Linked DNA regions of Lonchura striata. The protein of the gene in region 1 purifies or fractionates together with the protein of each later gene. This does not show direct contact. Links are inferred from orthologs where the notes say so. Each region holds a gene or a part of one and is shown on either strand. Other genes may lie near its edges.

The links.
Region 2: the proteins of ARRDC1 (region 1) and ZMYM2 purify together in Homo sapiens (affinity purification with mass spectrometry; 3 studies listed by BioGRID and IntAct, counting the BioPlex papers as one, with this or other methods). This does not show direct contact. The link is inferred for Lonchura striata from reciprocal best matches to the Homo sapiens genes ARRDC1 and ZMYM2.

The regions. Positions count from the first base shown.
Region 1 is NC_134624.1:4,150,714-4,157,744, reverse strand, and holds the start of ARRDC1 (arrestin domain-containing protein 1), read left to right. Parts: upstream 1-3,935; 5' UTR 3,936-4,010; coding exon 4,011-4,128; intron 4,129-7,031. UniProt on the Homo sapiens protein: Functions as an adapter recruiting ubiquitin-protein ligases to their specific substrates. Through an ubiquitination-dependent mechanism plays for instance a role in the incorporation of SLC11A2 into extracellular vesicles.
Region 2 is NC_134604.1:72,085,025-72,092,552, reverse strand, and holds the start of ZMYM2 (zinc finger MYM-type protein 2), read left to right. Parts: upstream 1-4,426; 5' UTR 4,427-4,566; intron 4,567-5,560; 5' UTR 5,561-5,618; intron 5,619-7,528. UniProt on the Homo sapiens protein: Involved in the negative regulation of transcription.

The sequences.
Region 1 (7,031 bases):
TCTGCAGGGAGGTGTGGCTGAACGGTACCACCTCTGCCTGAACTGCTGGAAGGTGTCAGCCTGAAACAAATGAGTAATTGTTGTTGCTGTTGGTATCAGATGACGTAGTTTACCCGCCGGCAAATCAGCTGAGAAGAGATGAGGCACTGAGTGAAGCAGGGAAATTATTTAGAAAGGTAATAAACCTGTGTAATATAAATATATTAAGGTAATGGATTTTATGTACACAGGAATACAGAATGGCTGTCAGTGGTGTAGGTAGCACGGGGAGCCCACCACGACAGTTCACATGTGTCTTTTTTCGTTCAAAGGAAACTTTAGAAACCTAAAGGTCAACTTGCACAAAGCTCTGCTGCTTTACTTCCCCCTCCATCACAGCCGCTCCGGTGCCTGCCCTTATGGGGCGGGGTGGGCTCACGCCAGTCACGCCCTCGCCAAACCAAGTAGGAGTGGGGGGAGAGATTGCAAACGCAAAAGAGAATTTGAGGGCGGAGAGACAGACTCATCTTGTCACAAGAGAGCAGGAGAGGCTCTGGGTGTCCCCGCGGTGCCGCCTGCCAGGCTCGCCCCTGTCCCCTGCAGCCGCGGGGCAGGTGGAAATGACCTGGAGGTACGAAGTGCCCCAGGGGAGCCGCGCCGCTGCCGCCGCCGGGAACGCGGCGTCAGCCACGGCCCGGGTGCGCCCAGGCATTTCCGCGCTGCCTCTCCCGGAGCAGCCCCGGCGCAGGGGAAACTGAGGCACGCTCAGGTGGGGCTGCGCCTCCTCCGTGTCAGCGTCCGCGTCTGGAAACTCCTGGAAAGACAAGAGGGGAACAAACAGAAGTGACAAGCAATGTCTGTGACTTAATGGTGGAGGCTTGTGCGTCTCGCACTTGCGGCCACAGCTGAGCCCTCCGTGGGCACATTTTCCCCACATGTGGCACCACTGACAGCTGCTCTGCCAGCACCTGTGCTTCCAGCTCGTCTGTGCTGCTGGCAAAGCCCGGCTCAGGTGCTGCTGAGAGGGAGTTTATTGATAATTTTTTTCCCTTTTAATAACTACTATGTTCTTTGTCAGAAAATTTCATGTTCCTTGAAGTTAGGGGAATGTGGTGACATCTGAAAGGAAAATTTTATTCTAGAGCTTGTCTTGACATTTTTCTTCTCTCTTTTTAAATTTCCCTTTTAATAAGGGGGAAGGGAAGCAGGGAGAGCACACAGAATGCAGAGGAAGTGAGATTTCCCACCACAACAACAAAACTCTTCAAAACATTTTTTTTTTTTAAGCAAAACAATAGTCAAAAATATCAGAAAGCAAACCATGGCAGTTTACTAAACATCCTTAGCTTACTTTTTTTTTAAACTGCTCTGAGTTTTAACTCCAATGAGTCCTCACACAAATAGATAAGAGGAATGGCTCTGGGGTGAGCAGGGAGGTAGGAATGTAAATACACGTTTTGACTGCAGTGAGTAAAATCCTCCTGAATATGGCATCACTGGGGGGATGATGGGCGCCCTGGCACTGCAGGCATTGTATACATTGAATTATAGAGTCACAGACTGGTTTGGGAACTTAAAGATCATCTCTCATTGCATCCCCTGCCATGGGCAGGGACACCTTACACTATATCCTAGGATGTTTCAATCTCTGTCCAGCCTGGCCTTGCACAATTCCAGGAATCCAGGGGCAGCCACAGCTCCTCTGGGGGACCTGTGCCAGGGCCTCATCTCCTCTGGGGAACCTGTGCCAGGGCCTCACCTTCCCCTAAGAAGGATTTTTCTTCCTAACATCCAATCTAACCCTGCTCTCTGTCAGTTTAAAACCACTGTCCCTTGTCTTGTCACTACCTAGCCATATAAAAAGTCCCTCTCTTTCCATTTTTTAAAGCCTCCTTAAGATACTAGAAGGCTGTAATGGAGTCTCCCTGAAACCTTTTCTTCTCCATGCTTCAATTATATCAATCCAGTTACATTTTACAGACTGCTCTACCCAGTGTAGCTGTGATCCAGGGGATGGAGCTGTCCTGTGGCATTGCTGCTGGCCATGGCATGACGAGGGACTCTGTGTATCTTAGCACAAATCCTTGCAGAACTGAAGCTGTGCCTGGGTGCTTTTGTTCAGCTCCTGATGCAGGAATCCTTTTTACTCACGTTGTGACCTTGGGCGAGCAACTTTGCTGTGCTTAAAATTATCTTCTCTGCAAACAAAGTGCATAAATCTCCATGTCAGGTGAAGCTGCAGCATGGCACAAGGGGCTTGGGTTTGGTGAAGGGTTTTTCCACCCTGAGTTGTCACATGTGTGGTGTCCCTCTTGGGCAAGGGTGCCAGTGCTGCCCCAGAGATGGTGTAGCCCTAATTGTGCCTCAAAGCATGATCCTTTGGCTACTTTCCATGGGGAAAAAGGGTTCAGTAAAATCTGCTGTAGCTCAGGGTGTTTTCAACCCCCCTCTCTTCTCCTAATTTGCTTGGTTTTGCTGGCAGAGCTAAATAGGGGCTGCAGAGACTGATGAAAGAGGCTGCAGGCTCGTCTTACAAAATAAAAAGGCTGGAGCAAATTGGCGTGCCTAGCCTGGGAAAACAGAAGCTAAGGGCAGCACAAGGAGAGCGGTGTGCGGACGGATCCCAGGGTACGCCCTGCGGGAGGAGATGAGCTGCAGAAAGCCTTGGCACAAGACTGTTGTGTGTCTGTAGCCTGTGACTACACGCAGCCTGGAAACCAGAGGAGGAGGGAGGCCCTGGAAAGGCTTCCCAGCAGGAGCCCTGTGTGCCTGGAGCACACGAACTCCTTTGGTACCTTGTGAGGGTTTTCAGGTTGCCAGAGCCACCACAAGGCAGCACGGAGAGTCCCACAGCCCCACATCCCCAGGCTGGTGTCACTGTGGGGCCGTGGGAGGATGTCTGTCTGTCCAGCCAGGTCTGGGCTGGGTGTGCTCTGCAGATAAACAGCTCCTTTTACACTTATTCATTCTGCCTGTGTACACAGCCTGCTCGCCAGCGGCCGGGAGGTGCCTTTTCCTGGCGCTGCCTTTGGTGTGGGTTTTACAGATGGTTTTTATTCAATCAGGCAGAGATGAGGGGAGAACATGGCAAATGTATGAAGTGCGCTGGTCATCCCTGGCTTCCTGGAACACTCTGACCTTCACCCACTGATCCACAGAGAGTACGGGGTCATCAATGACTCTTCAGCCCCAGTCCCAGTTTGTTGTCAGGTCCCTTGTATTTGCCTCTTACAGGACACTTAAAGCAACTGGGGTCATACAAACAGGAGCAGGGAGAGGTGACAGCTGGGGCTGGAGAATTACAGGGAGGAAATGAGATTAGAGGGAGCAGGGATCACCAGGAGGCAAGACGGCCCTGTGTTGGGCAGTCAGCTCCTTCCCCCAGAGCCCGACCCCACAACCACTCCTTTCCCCCAGAGCCCGACCCCACAACCACTCCTTTCCCCCAGAGCCCGACCCCACAACCACTCCTTTCCCTCACATCCGACCCCACAACCCCTTCTTTCCCTCAGAGCCTGCCCCAACCACTTCTCTCCCTCAGAGCCCAGCCCCACAGTGGCTCCTTTCCCTCCCAGCCTGACCCCACAACCTGCTCCTTCCCTCAGAGCAGTCAGGGACCCACCATTCTCTTTCCCTCACAGCTCAGCCCCACAATCTGCTCCTTCCCTCCCAGCCTGACCTCACAGGCAATCCCTTCCCTCCCAGCACAGCCCAGCCCCTGAAGCTGCCCTTTCCTCCACGGCTCCTTCCCTTCTAATAGTCAGGGCTGCATCAGCTACCCCTTACTCCATAGCCCGACCCTGCAGCAATGAGGGGTCCATCAGCTACCCTTCCCTCACAGCCTGGCCGCACAATTGCCCCGTTCCCCGGGCACTCGGCACCCCCGCACTCGCGGCGCCGGGCCCGCCCCGCTCCCTCAGCGCGGCCGGGGCGGGGCGGGCCGGGGCGGTCCCGCCCGCCGGGGCCGGCACAGCGCGGGCCGCAGGTGCGAGCGGAGCGGAGCGGAGCGGAGCGGCCGGGCCGGCGCGGCCATGGGCAAGGTGCAGCTCTTCGAGATCCGCCTGGGCGACAGCCGCGTCGTCTACAGCCCCGGCGAGCCGCTGGCCGGCACCGTCACCGTGCGGCTCTCGGGCTCGCTGCAGTACCGAGGTGAGCCCGCGGCCTGCCGTGCCCCGCGGGGCGGATATCCCGGGGAGGGGCTCGCGGGCTGCCCCGGCCCGCGGCCGGGCTTCCTCCCCCGGCTCTGCGGACCGGCGGCTCCGGGGCTGCCCCATCGCTGCCGCCCCCGCTGCCATGCGGCGGCCGGGAGGGGCTGATGGGAGCAACCTGCTGGATTATTTCCTCCTTCCTCCGCTTCCTCCTCTTACTTTTTGCTCCTATCCCATAAAATAAGGAAACATCCTCCCAACCCCCTTCCCACAACGCCCCAGCGCGGGGCTGTGCCACGGCAGCCTCCGGAGCTGGCGGGTGCCCAGGGTGGCAGCGGGAGGTGGCGGAGGGGCTCGCCCGTCTCGTTCGGCTTTCCCGGAGTCCTGCGGCTTCCCAGGGCTGCCGGCATCGCCCCGGCACAGCCCCGAGCCTGGTGCCCTGGGTCGGACGGACGCGAATGTGTTGGGCAGGGAACTGGGCGGAGGTGGGCGATGCCGTGTCCCGGCAGGAGCGGCACCCACCCACCGGCTCGCAGGCACCGTCCGCAGCCAGCAGCCGTGTTGTAACGTCTCGAATGAACTGGGGCATTGGAGTTGTGGCTCTGCGAGTGTGGGAGATGTCCGCGGTGTGTACGAGGTCCTGTGAGTGCCAGCAGTGGTCTGGAGCAGGAGTTGTTGTTGCTCCACGCAAGGCTCAGGCCATGCTCGTGGCTGGTGCAGTCCGTCGGAGCAGAGGGATGGGGCTGGACTGCAGGGAAATGAGCTGGCTGGGCTCGGATCATCCAAACTGGGAGCTTCCTCCCCCGCCTGAGAGAAGTCATTCGCATTTGCAAGTCAGCTTTGTGCTCAGTGCTGTGGAAATGTGAACCAATTTGCTGTTTTCCCTGAGGTCTTGCTTGCTTCTCGTGTGTGCATGCTGCTTCCTTTGTAACAAATTATTGGAGGGGGGAAAAAAGACCAAGTAATGTAAAATGTGAAGTCTCTGTTCAAGAGCTGTCAGCCTGGATGATGGTGCCTCTGCCTGCCGGTGCCTTGCTTTTGAGAGCACCTCTCCCAGTTGTCTGCAATAGCTTTTGGAAGCTTCTTGTGGAAAAAAAAAGTATCTAGGACAAGTGTAAACTTGTAGCCTGTTAAACTCCTGTCAGAGCAAAACAGTCGCAGATCCAGCGTTTATCTCCTTGGAGAATACTCCTGGATGCACTTCCAGCAAAGATGTTCCTAATGAAGTCTGGCTGACTTCCCTCGGCCCATCCCATTGACTTCCATCCATTCCTGAAGGTGCTTCTTGGGAGGGATGAGAGTTTGGCCTTAGAGGGTTTGGTGTGCTGGCCCTTTGTGCTGCCAGCTGGCCAAAACTACTTGCTGCTGCCTCTACAACTCCCATTTGAGGAGGACCTGCCAGGTTCTATTCTACACCAGCTCTCCTCTGCTTCCTGGTGTTGTTGTAGGGAAGGAGAAAGGCTTCTCTTTGTTCTAGACCTCCTTTCTGCATCCTTATTGCCTTGATTCGGAGAAGTATCAGGGTCTGGTGTTAAGTACAGGTCCTGAACTCAGGAGGGGTTTTGCTGTGGGATCTGGTGTTTGGGGCTAGTGCAGGGATTCTGGTAAGAGCTGGGTAAGAGCTCTAGGAAAGCTGTCAGATGCATTGAGCCGAAATCTGATGTGGGCTCCATGTGATTGATGCTTCTGTTGTGCTGAGATCACTGAGCAGCTCTTCTAGACTGTTTCATGTACAGTGGCTTCATGAGCTGGGCTAGAAACTTTCCATTACTGGTGTCAGAACTCACCCAGTTAAGTCACATTTGGGTGTGAAACCAACTTCTGCCAAGCACAGGGTGACACTTTGCTGTGTGTTCTCCCTCCTGCTGGTGCTTAAACCTTCCATACTTCATTTCTTGGGCACCCTCTCCTTCTTCCTGGATGAAGGAAGTGTCCCACCCTCAGAGGAAGAGGTTCCTGTAGCTGCTTGAAACATCCTTTTGCTGTAACAGCAAAAGAGATCTTAAAGAGACTTGTGAGCCCTGTTGAGCACTGTGGGCTCGGCACTAGAGGGATCAGACAACCTGACATCCTCTGGCTTCCTACTGGGCTGTGAGGAGAGCTGTGTGGAATCAACTCATTTTACATTGTATATGCCCCCCCACACCTTCTGTGGCCAACTGTGACTTTCCAGGCTAATAAACTGCTTCCAGGAGAAGACACAAAGTCTCACCCCTGGCAGGTCTGGCCCTCAGCACCACGATTTGGTGCTTTCCATTTCCTGAGCCAGGCGAGTCTGGCGCGGTGACTTCTCGGTGCTGTGGTGTGTGAGATCACAGCCGGAACCAGCCTGGAGGTGACTCCTCACACGGTAACTTCTGGCTCTTGCAAATTACACCTTCTGAAAGGTGACAGTGCAAACAAACACAGCTCGTTGTGCCTTGCTAAACACGGGGGAAATCTTGGGTCATGGGGCAGCGTAGCTGGGGACACACCTTTTTGGGATCATTGATGTTCCCACTTAGACTGGCGTCAGTGCCAGCCCTGCTGACTGGCACTGAGGGCTGTTCTGGAGCACATCTTCTTCAGCTGACCTTGCAGCAGCATCACAAATACTGACTGGTCCTTGGTGACTCATGTGGACCTTCTGAGGAGCCACATTTCTTCCTGTGCCTGTGCCAGGGTGAGGGACCTGCCCAGAAAACTTCTGAGCCTCAGGGGAGAGCGCTGATGGAAATGGAGAATTCCTGATCATTGTGCCTGGTTTGCTGGGTAAATCATCAAACGTGTGTGCACAAAGAATAATTAATCTTACAGGAAGCTTGCGCAGGGACAGCTGGAGATGGAGTTAATTTGTGGGGAAGGAGGAGGGAAGCCAGTTCATTTGGAGCAGGGCAGGCAGTCCTGGTTGCCGGCAGGAGCATG
Region 2 (7,528 bases), on another chromosome or scaffold:
GAAAATTAGAAGGAAGTTTCTAACCACCAAAACAATGAAATTCTGGAACAGATTTGTGACAGAAGTAGGGGGTAAACATATCAGGCTACTATTAAGATGGGGCTTGAAAAGTTTCTGCAAGGGATTATATGACACAGTTTCCTCTAATAGCAAGATAGTGGACTCAGTGACCTAAGCAGTCTCTTTCAGTTTTAAGAGCCTGCCTTCTGTTTTGTAATACCATTTCTCCATTAAGACGAGAGATCAATCCAACTAAAACCCTCAAATGTTTAAAAATTAATAAAAATTACTTTGCAAGTAAAGATTATGTTGATTATTGTAAACCCCCTTAAAATTATTACAGAAGAACAGTTACAATCTTATTCTTTCAGTATGGGAATGTCTGCTATGGGGAAATTGCCCAGATCAGATCATAAATTGTTATTTACTGTTCCAAAGCTTAAATATGGGATGCAGCATAAAGGTAATTTGAAGACATATTATATTATGCAATTAATAATAATCTTATAGGATAGGATATATTGTCTACTTATTTAACCATTGGAAAGATCACTTTTGGTTAATTAAACTGAAAATTACACAATCTGCTTATAGACAGGTAGTGATTTATTTATAAATATTACAAAATGTATATGTAGTCCAACAACCATAATGAAAACCACAGGTAATGTTCTGTACAAAGCATTTTTTTGTAATCTAAAAAAATTCTATGGGTTCTGTTACGTAAAGTAAAATCACACATATGTGGTATAATGGAATCATAGATTGATTTGGGTTGGGAGGGGACATGAAGACCATCTGGTTCCAACCCCTGTAGCATGGGCAGGGGCACCTTCCACTAGACCAGGTTGCTCAAAGCTCCATTGTACCTGGCCTTGAACATGGCTGGAGATGGGGCATCCACAGCCTCTCTGGGCAACTTGCTCCAGAGCCTCAAAATCCTCATAGTGAAGAGTTTTTCCCTAAGTATCTTTTTATTAAGAGCTTTAGTCTACAAAGAATAGCTGCTATGCCTGATGAAACTCAAAATCAGAACACTGGTAGAGGAAGTAAAACCAAAATGATGAAGCTGTTACTGATCATAGATGTTTTAAGATTCTGCTTTCTTTTGTTTTGATTTTGTGTTTTTAATTTCTTTTCCATCCACTACTATTTCTTGAAGTTTCTCTTCTTAGTATTGACCAAACACTAGTAGACCACAATTCCATTATGCCATGACTATGAGAACGTATGTTCCATCAACCTGTACACTTTATTCGCATCTTTCTTTTTTGTGATGGCCAAGAGGGACTGAGGATAAGTAGATAAAGAAGTAAGATTAAGGACAGAAAAGTAAGAGAAATATTGGGAGAAATGGTAGGGGAAAAAAGAAAAGTTGTTCTAAGCCTGGAACAAATGCCACTATATCATAGATAAATAACGTTGACAGCAGGAGGTGGCTTTAAACTATGTTCATCCTGTTATTACAATACAATATGCATCACTTGAAGGTTGCCTTGGTAAGTGCTTTTAAGATGTCTGCTCAAACATAAACTTTCCAAAATATGTCCGATTATTCCTTCTCAGTTCAAATACAGTTGACTGTTTTTTGAGAAAATAGTCCTCCATTACAGCCAGAAGGATGTCACTCTTGTTATAAGGTGATAAAGAAACTCTTGGCTCAGCTTTGTTGAATTTATCTACTCCCAGTCAATACATTTGACATTTTCTAGTAAGGTTACTGACATCAGGCCTGTCCATGAAAGAAGTGTCCATATAAATACATATGCTTCAGTTCTCTGGTGCTCATGAAGAGATTTTACTGCTTAGCATATGAGCTAATGCTAACTCTTTCAAACCATAAAAATAATTACTCTATATGAATTATTCTTAAAAGTAATCTGAATGATACATGGTTCTACAGAGGAAGAGGAATTTACATGGTTGCCTGAACTTTTTGTCCCTTTTCCTGATGTCAGTTGAAAAAATAAAGGAAAAATTATGGTGTATTTAATTACTTTTGGCTATATTTCAACATATGAATTTAAAACTAAGGTTACATGTCTATAGGGGGACAACAGTTCTGTGGAGTTATAAACTTTATTATATAAAAACATTTCATATAGTTCCAAGAGTGCAAGTGAAACCATTCAATTTTGTTTGAGCTGTGTTACCTAAAACATTAATGAAAATGTTCTATTGCTACGTAACAGACCTAGATAACACTGTTAGGTAATGTCTCTTGCTATAGCAGCGGTAAGATGCAAAGTATTCTCCAGTTACTTTTCATACCCCAGATTACTAAGAGCAATAGGTTTCTCTTAATGTGTTCCTAATTAGAAAAACACTTGTTTTCTACCATGCATTGCTAGTGCTTCAGTCCTCTTGAATTTCTTTCTGAACTCCATGAGAACATAAATGCTTATGGATAAGCACTGTTGTAGAACAAAAGGCATCTTCCTGAGATGTATGACTAGGAATGTCGGCAAATTTGTAATATGGAGGACAACTTAAAACAGCTTTGAATTTTACCAACCTAGATGATATTCCAGGCTAATGATGAGGATGGTCAGGAACTAGCTGACTTGATGGAGTGAATGGGATTCAATGTTGAAATTTCAACAGCTTTCTGGTTACATAATTAGTCTGGTAGTGTGATACTGCAGATCAAATGTTTTATCAATTTATAGGGCAACTTTGATACCTTCAAAATGGGTGATGATGCATGCAGACATGACACTTTCCTCGTTGGCAATGGTTGTATTAGAGTGCTTTGCCATCAGCTCACGTAATTTTTTGCAGGCAAGCTGCTGCCAGCCCTGAGGGAACTCTGTCCCTCCACACCAAATAGCCCTTCCAAGCTTCATCTAATGAGCAGTATGTCTTGCAAAAAAAGCGCCAAAACCAGCAAAACCAAATCCACATTAATTCCACTCAACAACATAGAGTAACAGTGCTGGAGAAGCTTTTGGCTTGAGTTGTTGATTGGAGCTAGTGTCTCTGGGTGGCATCATTGGGAAGAAATTAGATGTATTGTTGTGACAATGGACGATAGAAAATTTTCTCGTCTCTCCCACACATGAAAATTATTAGCCAAACACATCAAAGGTGGTGGAGAGAGGAGACATCCCTTCAACGACTCCTGCGCCGCTCGTGAGGGAGGCTGTCCCTCAGGCTGATCCCGCGGGAGGCTCCAGCTCCCGACTGGAAATGGCGCCAGCCGCTGAAACCCAGCGCCTTGCGCACGCAAGAGCCGCTCTCTCCCCGGGGGACGCTGCTGCGCATAGTTGACACGGATTGATCCCGGCTAGAGAAGGCAGGGCGGGCATTGCGCTGTCTCTCTCTCCCTCTTCTGGGCAGAGGAGGATGGGTAGATGGAGCAGAGCGGGACCAGCGCGCCAGACGGTCCTCGAAGGAGCGGGCGCTGGTGCCATGGCCAGCGACGGGGAAGGAGCCGCGCAAGGGAAGCGCGCATCCTCCATTTTGGCGAAGGGCGGGCGGAGAGTTGGCTCCCGGCGCCTGGCCGGAGCAGTCGCTCCCACCCCGCGGCATTGCCGGGGGCACCCGGCTCCTTTTCCCGCGGGGAAGCCGTAAGGAGGCTGTTCAAATGGACGCCCCGCTGCGCCTCACGTTGGTTCGAATTGGTACCAAGCTCCCCGCAGCGGCTTCCGACAAAATGGAGGACGCCACCACCACTGCCACCACCAACACCACCACCACCACCATCTCCTCCAGGAGCCATGTCGGCGGCTGATATGGCGCCCTCCCCCGCGGCAGGCGGGGGCAGCAAGGCGTCCTCGGCTGAGGAGGCGCTGCTCGGCGGGGCAGGCTGCGGGGACGCGGGTCAGGCGCCCTCCCTAGGAGACGCGAACTCTCCCTTTTCCCTCTGGGAACGCTTCCATTACCCATGCTCTATCCACCATGGGAATGACCCCAGGTTCAAAACCCTGGTGAGGGGAAGGAAGGAGCGGAGTGGGGCCCTTTGGAAAAGCACTGCCAGCCCCTATGGCTCAGCGCGGGGTCCGGAGTGGGAGAGGAGAGCCCGCGCCCCACGGCCGTAGCGGTGGCGCCCGCAGGGAGCGAGCGCACGGCCGGGACGGCTAGCGCACCCTGCCCGCGGCCGGCGGCGCGCAGCCGGCTCGGCGGCACCGAGAACTTCTGCGAGTTGCCGCTGTCAAACAGCGGCGCGGGGAGCGCCAGCGCAACCCTTGGGCACGGGTAACAAGCCGGTCAGTGGGCAGCGATCCGGGTTCCTCAAACCTGATGGATCAAAGTGGGAAGAACCCCAAGCATGGCCAAGAGGAAGATTGGCAGTTTATAGGGTCAACCGGCTGCGGGCGGCTCTGATGGATGGGCGGCGCACCCACTCGGCTAGCCCAGCGCCAGAGCCCGCCCTCTGGGAAAGCCAATGCCGGGGCAGGGAGGCGGATCTCCCCGAGCTCCCTTGGCCCGGTTCCTCCTCCTCTTCGCCAGCGGCTGCGCTTCGCCCGGGACTGGACCGAGTTAGAGTTGAGGCGCCGGAGGAGTAGCGCAGAGTGCGTGCGTCCCCCGCGGGGGGGTTCGTGCCCGCAGGCGGTGGGGAGCCGGGTAAGGCGCGGACACGGGGCGCTGCGCCTCACCGGGGCGGGCTGGCGGGGGGCTGGCAGCGCTTAGCTGCCCCCAGGGCGGGGATGGGAGGGCAACCGCCGTGCCTCACAGCTACCCGGCCAAGTACCCCGCGGTGTCGCTGCCGCGCCGCCACCTCTGGCGGCGGGGATGCGGGCGGCACCGGGGGCAATCCCGCGCATAACCATCGCGCCGCGGCGGGGGGCGGTGGGGAAAAATGGGGGGCGCCCGGGGGCAGCCCCGAAGGGGGGGGGCAGGGGTATCTGGGGGAAGGGCCGGGTCTGCTCTAGCGCCTCCTATTTTAACTCTCTCCGTCCCTTCCCCGCCGGGCCCTCGGCTGTTGTTCTGCCCCTGTGCCTCCCCCACCCACCGCCCTCGCAGCCCCCCCGCGGGTACCTCCCTCCCATCCTCTCCCCTCCCCTGCCCGGCGCTCCGCGGCTCCCCTCCCGTATTGTTCGGCTGGGTCCCTCTAATGGCGGACAGGAGGCGGTAGTGCCGCTGGCCGACTGCAGGGGGGCAAACCCGAGACCGGGGGCAACTGCCGCGGGGGGCGCGGGCGCTCGCCCGGCGCCGGGGCCGTGCCGCTGAGGGCCCCGCGGCCGCTCCGGGCGCCGGTTCGGGGCTTACAGGGCAAGTTCGCAGGTAACACTCGCTGCTCCCCGCCGTGGGTGCCGCCGCTGCCTCTGTCCCCCACACTCGCGGTAGAAGCCCCCCGGTGTGGCGGCGCCCGGGGACAGCTCCTTGTCCCTCCTTCCTTCAGCGGGGACAAGCTGCGTGGGTGTGCCGTGAGGTGTACCCCACCGCCCCCGGCGAGGGCAGTAGATTTGTTTGTTTGTTTATTTATTTGAAAGATTGGGATTAAAGGGAAGTGGTGAGTGATGCAGGCAGTACCTGCCCTGGCCAGGCGATGGAAACGCTCCTTGGGGGCGCTGCCTGATCCTCGCTGCCCCGTGTTAACCCCATGTCTTTCCCTTAGGCTCCAGCCCAGTTTGGTGCAGCCTTGGCAGCGACCAACAAGGAGAGGGAGCTCCATTGTGAGTGCTATTTGTGTATCTGTTTCTGCCTTTGCCAGACCTCCTAACAGCGGGCTTGAACCATTCCCCCCGCCCCGTATTCTCCTGGGGCAAGGGGTGGAATGAGGTCCCTCTAGGGCTGGGTGGGGAAATTCCTGCGTTCAGTAGCCGCTGCCCTGGGGCGAAGCCCCAGTAATGGCTGTGAGGCGGCTCCTCCTCGGAGTGGGCGCTGCTGCTGCTGCAGACATCGCTCCTGCAATACCAACTCCGGCAGGCAGACGACGGGCTGCTGCCGCTGCTCACGTTACCCGGCTCGGGAGGGAGGAGGAGGAGGGCATATTTCGGGTGCCCTCTAGAGTTGTGTAGCGTGCGTGAACACCCGTGACAAGACACCTTCAGCCATCTTGAATTTTTCTCCCCTCCTCCATTGCTCGAATCACGTGTCCCGCGTATCATCTCGAAGCTAAGAAGAGGCATGGGAGGTTTAAAATCACCCAGCAGTTTGTAATGGAGAAGCACGCTCCATGGTCTCTTTGTGACTGGTTCACAGACTGGTTCTCTACACCCGCAGATTTGTATGGGTGGTCTTGTTGGGTTTCTTGGCTGGGCTTCTGAGCCATCCACTTTGTCCCTTCCCCGGGAAGCTGGAGGACACTGGTGAAACCCACAGGTAGCGAGCATTTTTGGTGTTTTGTCTATGTGGAATTTTGAGAGCAGATTTTGATCTCTGTTGGGTGTTAGGTTGGCTAAGGAGAGGCTTGTTGCCTGCCAATACCTGTGGGTAGGACTGGGATATAACTTGAATCTAGCTTCTACCCTTGTTAATATTGGGGCTGTATTTTTATCTGCATGGGGGATTCCGAAATGGCCAAGTAGCGCGGCGAAGGAGCGAGTGAGGGTGCGAGCGCTCGGGAGAGGCTCGGGAGCTGCCGCGGCGGGCCCGGGCGCGGTGCGCGGGCTGCGCCGCCAGAGGCGCCGGCGGCAGCGCGGCGGCTCCGCCAGGAGCGCGCAGCCCGAGAACAAAACAAAAAGGCAGCGCCTCTCTCGCCCTATGGGTCCCTCGCTTGGTTACAGCACGGATTCAGGTGTTGCGGTCTTCCCCAACACTCGTATCTTGGATTTCCCCCCCGCCCCGTTTCTGTCCCTTTCTGTTTTACATTTTCCAGATTCGCAGAGCTTGCAACTTTCTTTGTCACTTTTTGGTGGCTTACATATACAAAGAATAAGTCGTTCGCTGCAAAGCCTCACTGCTTAGGATGAGGACATCAGATCTCTATTTGTTCTGCACGTATAAAATTATGAACTGCATCAAAGACTTGTAAGAGTTTACATGGCATGTTATCTTTAATAAAGTTGTCTGTTCCAACCCTTGACTTGCTACAGCAGCTTAAAATTTTGAACAGTAATTTTTAAATTCTTACCATATCTTGGATGCAAGGCTACCATCTGATTTTACTTCTGATTCATTTTTTATGCATTCCAGTCTAATAGCTGTTCTTTTTTTTCCGATTATCCTTCATGTCAAATAAAGTTACTTTAAGGAAATATCAAGGCAAATGATGCTTTGGAAGAAGGGAGACTGTTGTGTACTGGAGGTGGTAGGTGGCACATTGTCCTCCTCCAGCTGCAATGATGGTGGTATAGCCTTCTTATGGCATGTGATAGGACCATGCTGTTCGGGGTATTTGGTGCTTAGTGCTGCAAGGTCATCTCTAGGAACCAAACTCGTCAGCCATGTTATTTGGTGGTTAAGCTAAGTAACTTATTTTAATAGAAGTCTGTCTTAATTAGAGCAATAAATTAATTTTATTATCTACTAAATTGGCTTTATATTGTTGTTATTAATCCTCTCCAACCTCAAATATATTATTGCATTTTCCTGTTGCTCATCCTGTAATAACATGCTAATAGGGATTTGCTTCAGCAAGGAT